2 linked regions of the Nothobranchius furzeri genome follow. The protein of the gene in region 2 purifies or fractionates together with the protein of the main gene of each other region. This does not show direct contact. Links are inferred from orthologs where the notes say so. Each region holds a gene or a part of one and is shown on either strand. Other genes may lie near its edges. The genes, in order: ppp2cab and ppp4r1l.

Evidence for each region.
Region 1: the proteins of ppp4r1l (region 2) and ppp2cab purify together in Homo sapiens (affinity purification with mass spectrometry; 3 studies listed by BioGRID and IntAct, with this or other methods). This does not show direct contact. The link is inferred for Nothobranchius furzeri from reciprocal best matches to the Homo sapiens genes PPP4R1 and PPP2CA.

The regions. Positions count from the first base shown.
Region 1 is NC_091750.1:60,013,315-60,016,814, forward strand, and holds the end of ppp2cab (serine/threonine-protein phosphatase 2A catalytic subunit alpha isoform), read right to left. Parts: intron 2,167-3,500; coding exon 1,957-2,166; intron 1,875-1,956; coding exon 1,701-1,874; intron 1,613-1,700; coding exon 1,523-1,612; intron 1,438-1,522; coding exon 1,276-1,437; intron 1,187-1,275; coding exon 1,068-1,186; intron 984-1,067; coding exon 911-983; 3' UTR 684-910; downstream 1-683. UniProt on the Homo sapiens protein: Catalytic subunit of protein phosphatase 2A (PP2A), a serine/threonine phosphatase involved in the regulation of a wide variety of enzymes, signal transduction pathways, and cellular events.
Region 2 is NC_091743.1:58,789,601-58,792,633, reverse strand, and holds part of ppp4r1l (serine/threonine-protein phosphatase 4 regulatory subunit 1), read right to left. Parts: coding exon 2,865-3,033; intron 2,799-2,864; coding exon 2,479-2,798; intron 1,993-2,478; coding exon 1,906-1,992; intron 1,827-1,905; coding exon 1,641-1,826; intron 1,461-1,640; coding exon 1,299-1,460; intron 757-1,298; coding exon 656-756; intron 547-655; coding exon 426-546; intron 253-425; coding exon 118-252; intron 1-117. UniProt on the Homo sapiens protein: Regulatory subunit of serine/threonine-protein phosphatase 4. May play a role in regulation of cell division in renal glomeruli. The PPP4C-PPP4R1 PP4 complex may play a role in dephosphorylation and regulation of HDAC3.

The sequences.
Region 1 (3,500 bases), on a different chromosome or scaffold from region 2:
TCCAGCAGGATCCAGGCTGGCTTAGATTGCTCTGGAAAAACTTAATAAAATTGCATTTATGCGCCTTTTATTTGAAATAACACAATTCTCAACATTAAGTTTGCTTGTTTTGGGCAATTGATACTTCTGTTCTCAATACAATCTAATATTATGGAGCACAATAATTTAAATTCACATTTAAATAAATGTATTTTTTATGTCTTCGCCTTGCTGTGTCAGTGTAATTACAACTGGCCAGAGAAATCCAAATATAACTAGACTTTTTACAAGAATGAAGAATAACCAAAAACACAATTCAAGAAGTCATCTTTATTATTCTAGTAGGTTATTATAGAGTCTGAAGCTAAAAGGAAGCAGGTGAGTTGATGAACACTCCATCTTTTCTATAAACCAAGCCATCTGACTGCATGAGAAGGGATTTTCCTAAAACATACACAGGTCAAAAAAAACTGAAGGTTTACATGCAATTTAAAAATAAACAACAAAAAAACTATCAATATCGTGAAATCGTATTAATCTTTTTGACATATTTAACATTTCTTTAACTGTACAAAAGTGCAAACAAATCACATTCAAATCTCAAAAACCATGGTCTGCAGTAGCAAATTAGTCTTGGACTTTGGTGCCGTCAACCCAGCTCCATATGTACAGGAGGAGGAGCCGAGACATCCAGGATGTTCTATTTTGTCATTTCAGATACAATAAATATTTAAGTGATCATGGCACACACCTTTTGGTCCGTTTATAGACACATTTGCTTTTGCGAAATGCTTTAACTAGATTGGATAAACACAACGTGCAACACTGCAGCCTCTCAGGCCTCCATCACGTTGTTTTCAGTTCAAAGTCAGATAGGTTGGTGGTTCTGGACAGGACCGGACCGGACCGTGCGCGGGTCGAGACTGCAGGTTTACAAGAAGTAGTCTGGGGTGCGGCGAGTTACATGGGGCTCTCCTCTGCGAGGCGCTGGATCAAACTGCAAGCTGAGGAGGAACATCAGGAAGAAAAAAAATCACAACTTATTCTAAGATTTCTTTGTCCACTCGTGATGAAATTCGCCTGCTTACAAAGAGTATTTGAGGGTGTCGTCTAGCTCCATGATGGCTGCCTGGTTTCCACAGCGATAGCAGTAGTTAGGAGCACTAAAAATGGTCACCACGTTCCTCTCATGGCACCAGTTGTAGCCCTGAGGTAAGCAGATGTAATATTAACACGCATCTGAACTTAGCGGCACTGCTTCTTTGTTTTTAATCATCTTTGGACACAAAGACAAACCTCCATGACCAGCTGATGGGCGCGGGACACCAGCGTGAGGCGGTTGGCGTGGTTGAACGTTTCAGAGATGTCCTGACCAAATGTGTAGCCAGCTCCTCGGGGAGAGATGCCCCAGCCGCCGCGGTCGTCGGGGTCTGACCACAGCAGGTCGCACATGGGACCCTGCGTGACAACGAGAATGGTCACAAACGTTTTTATCTTTATTGTTTCGTTGCTGATCTGCACCACATTTAACGTCTTTCTTTACCTCGTGCGGCACTTCCTGTAAACGATCCAGAGCTCTGATGTGATCCAGCGTGTCTATAGACGGTGATAAGCCCCCGTGGAGGCAGAAAATCTGAGGAAAAAAAATCGATAATTATAACAAATTATGATGCTTTTCAAAGAAACGTCAAGTTCGGTCTTTTTTATTACGCTCCTCTCACCTGAGAGTCTACCAGCGCAGTGAGGGGGAGGTAATCGAACAAGTCTGTGAAGTATTTCCAAACGTTTGCGTTTCCGTATTTCCTTAAGCACTCGTCGTAGAAGCCGTAGACTTGTGTGATCTGTCTGCTCTCGTGGTTCCCTCTGAGGATCGTGATGCGCTCCCGGAAGCGAACCTGAAACACAAACATCTGTTTACGTCGCGTTTTTCACCCCAAAGAGGAAAAAAAAACTGTTTTAAATGTCTGACAAAGTCACCTTAAGAGCTACAAGTAATGTGACGGTTTCTACAGAGTAGTACCCTCGGTCCACATAGTCCCCCATGAACAGGTAGTTTGTGTCCGGCGATTTCCCACCGATCTTGAACAGCTCCATGAGGTCGTGGAACTGGCCGTGCACGTCGCCACACACGGTCACTGGACATCTCACCTCCTGGACGTTGGACTCTTTGGTCAGGATCTCCTTTGCCTGCAGAAGGAAAGTTGATTAGAGAATTAAAACTTGCACAAGCCAGGCAAAGGCCACCATTTTCTTTTTGTCTTCATTCAGGCACAGCCCACTTCCTGCTAGCGCTTACAACGGCCTCCATCACGTCTCATCAGGATGCTGCACACGGAGCGGGGCTGATAGCATTTTGATGCAGCGACTAGCTTCCTGTGGGGCGACCCTGTGGTGCCCGGACGGGCAGCTCTGGCTGCACGGCAACGTTTCTAAAAATCCATAAATGTGATCCTCCGAAGATTAAAAGGCAAGTGCAGAATAAATTTTAGTGGATTTGCATAAAAGTTTTGGTTCACTTTGATGTTAATTCACATCGGATCAGACAAATTAGATTAACGTGTTAAATTCAGAAAAATAAATGTGATTCTGGATTATTAAAGCATTTTATTTTTACCCATAAATCATCAGAGGGGCCTGACTGGCTGCTGCAGAGCATGACTCAGCATGTGGCCTACAGCCAGAGCCAGAGGAAGTCACCATTAAAATAAGACAGGATTTACCACCAGTTGGCTTGATTGGTAACCTCCAGCTGTGACTGCTTTTATGTTTCCGATTGTTTTACCTTCATGGTAAATCACCCGGAATTTGGCCGTTTGCTGAGTATTTTTGTGAGCTGTGTGACCGTGGATCCCTTCACAAACCAGAGAACGAGTGTGTTCCTTGGCTGGTGGCCAGCTGATGGGATAGAAACCCAGACGGGCCAGGATGGCGCTGCAGCGTTGCACAACGTTGACCTACATTGCATCCAAACTCCACGTGTCCCGACCGGCGTGCGGCAGGAGGCTTCGGGGGCCACACTGAGCCACAAATCTCTAAAGCAAACAGAGGCACTAAGCCAGAGAAGAATATTCTAGGTGTCTGGATGAAAGTGGAACACAAACACACAGGACCCATCTTTGAATGGATGAGGCGACAGGAGATAAAGTGGATCTGTCTGGGTTCCTCATCCTAGTCAAACCGTAGACATATCTACGTCTACGAGTTCACGTCGGTGTCATGGCTCATGATGCCGTCAGCACGAAATGGAACATTAGAAAGGGATCTTTGACGCTGCCGTAGTCATGAAGACGAGCTTTAATTAAGTCCAACGTATCAGGTTCTGAGCCAAACTCGTCCATCAACACCTGCTGGAAACCCTCGGGTCGTTTCAGCTTACGGAGAAATCAGGTGATGTTCAAAAAGAGCAGAAACGATACATGTACTCAAAAAATAAGGACTTTGGGGATGTTTTCGAAGCTCGTTTCTGTGTAAATTTTATAATCGCTGCTAAACTAAGAAATCCCTGTCGAACTGGACCCCTG
Region 2 (3,033 bases):
AAACTCAGACAACTAGTGGAGGGGGGGGGGGGTCAACTATTGTAACCACAGGAGAACATTTGTCAGATCAGTCAGAGAAAATGGTGCTTCCCCACTTCTCCCATTAGATCCACAGACCTGGCAGATGAAAGCAAAGGCCTGCCTCCCCACCCACTTGGGACAGTGGCAAAACCTGACGGTGAGCTCGTTGATGAAATTCAGGCCAAGGTCGTCAGCACCACATGCATAAAGTTTCTGGAGGATCTCCACCACCTGAGAGCAGAGGAAGTGATGACACACTCGCTCCATCTACACAGTGTTCATTTACACGGTTTCATTAAAAACAAACACCAGTATTTAGAACCTAATTCTGTTGGGCAAAAGTTCACAAGCTGCTTGCATTTTTCCTCCACAGGTCAGTTTGCGCAGCCGGCAGTAAAACGTACCAGTTTGTAGGAGATCCACCTGACCTCTGAGACCTTGTCAGAGCAGAGGGTGAGGGCGATCTGTCTGAGGTAGTCATACACATCGTAGTGGCTGTACAGCTCAATGATCAAGATCAGCTGCCTAGAGGACAAAGCCAGTGAGGCACACGGTGAATGCACGGGGACATACCGGCCGACTGATATATCTGTCCACTCCTAGTGAAGATCCTCTCTCCCTCAGAGACACTTACTCTGCCAGCTCATATCTGAATCTCCAGTTTCGACTGTTGTCCGTCACCATGAACTCCTGCAGCTGGTACAGATACTCTCTCCTTTTGTCTGCGTGCAGCAGCTGCGACACAAACCTGCTCCGTTATCAACAGCAAACAACCTCCTCTCTCGCAGACCTGCCAACCTTGTCAAACATTTTTTGAGTACCACCTGTGCGGCGTTTTTCGCAGACTTTTACAACTCCATTGCTTTTCACGCTGTAATCTCCCCATTCACTGGATGGAAAATTTCACACACACACACACACGCACACACACACTTTACCTTACCAGAACAGCAGCGAGTGGCGAACCAGTGGGAGAGAGGAGGAACGAGGCAGGGAGGAGGGGGGTTTTAGGCTACTGGTTAGGCAGGATAGGCTTACTCTGCTTTTCTACGATGATTGGCTTAAACTTCTTCACCACGCCACTGAGTCGTGTTGTCAGACACGAGTACCACACGTACATATTTGCCACAGAACTCAACTCACGTATCCGCAGCTTTGTGCGAAGTTTAAATGGGTGAGTCGTACCAGCGTAAATAGATGCCAAATTGCATACTGGCGACGCAAAATGCGTACAGGTTGGCAGGTTTGCTCTCGTTATGGCGCAGTGGAGATCTTACCTTCAGGAAGTCGTACAGGTGCTTGAGCACGCCGATGCGAACCTCATCTAGGTCTTTGAGGAAGCCGTTGAAGATGGGAACCAGATCAGCTGCAGTCAGCTGGTCCCCCAGGATAACCGCCAGCTCATGGATGGAGAAAGCCAACGTTCGCCGCACCTTCCACTGAGAGGGAAAATGTGGGGAATTAAAACCATAAAGCCAGTGCTAATAATCCAACACAAAGTGGAGTGTCTGTGGTGACCTTAAGCATGAACCACTACAGATCCTGTTTTCTGATGAGCTTCAAAGCTACAAAGGCCCAAACACCAGACATCATTACACTTGTGATTTCCTGATACCTACCTGCACGTCCGTGGCGAGGGTTTCATATGTGTCCTTTAGGCAGTGCCAATTCTGTCGGCCCAGAGTGAGCGCCACACCCGGAAGGCTGAAGGCACAGTGTTTGGCTATCTCCGTGTCCACCGTCTGGGCCCGGGCGGGGTCCGTCATAGAGAGGTACTGATCCAACAGCTGCTGAGGGATGACATTCTGCAGACAGGAAGTCCAAGTTAGATGATTAAACACGAGGAATCCATAATGATCGTGGGATTCGTTTATCATGACCGACCTGGATTTTGGGCTTATCCTCTGACGTTGGGCTGTGAAGACAGGCGTCCTTTTCCTCCTCCTCCACATTTTCAATTAAGCTAGACTCCTGAGGAAAATGAGAACCCACAAAAACGTAAAAGAGCAGGAAAGTACAAGCGAAAACCACAAATATCTCAAATCATCCATGAAAACAACTAAAATAGTTTTAACAAACGGTTTAACAAAGCTGCCACAGACTCCAAACTATTGCATGAAAAATCTAATCAACAGAAAAAATAATAAACACTGCGATGCAGCTCTGAGCCGTTAAAACAGGGTCGCCCTTGGAAACCTAAAACAGCTGACAATCATGGTTTGGGGCCAGAACATCCTCTGCTGTTGTTGAAGTTGTTCTCTGCTTTATATTGCATTTGATTAAATATATTATGCAACTGTGCACAAATGGATGCGTCTGTGGTGTATAATAGTTTCTACACCTTTACCAGTTTCCCTAAGAGTGATAACCGTAGATGTGCATGTGCTCCTGCCATAGTTAGTGAGGCTGCGCACGTCTCCACGATCATTTCATGGCCATGTTTTTATGGATATGTACCCGTAGTATCTGAGGCCCCAGAACAGGAGAGTTGGGTGGAGACTCCTCCTGCTTCTCCAGAGGTTCAGTTTGAGTCTCTTCATTTTCTTGCTCCTGGACCGGACACGTTTCTGCAGCTGGAGAAATTTCCATTGTTTCTTCTTGGTCTGTGCTAGCGTCCTCCATCTCCGGCTGTAGATCAATAGAAATGCCGTCCCCTGATAGGCCCTCAGGGCTGTCTTCAGGCGGCTCCTCGGTAGGGCTGGTTTCTGTCGGGCTGCCGTCAGACGGGCTGTCGAGCTGGGCCGCCTTCAGAGCTGCTGACAAGACTTGGACTTGAACTGGAGGTGAAATACACACTCAGTTAAATCTACACACCAGTAAAATCTCCATTCCTATCTACCCACCTTGTACATCGGGATCAGCAATGTGAGGCGTCAAACAGTCCAAGACCTTTTGGATTTGATCGCTGGTAGCTTTTCCGGGGCTGGGTTTAGAATCTGAACTACTTTCCTGGTGCTCCTCCTCTTCCGTTTCCTCCTTTTCTGTGACTTCCTCCGATTTCTCACAATTTAG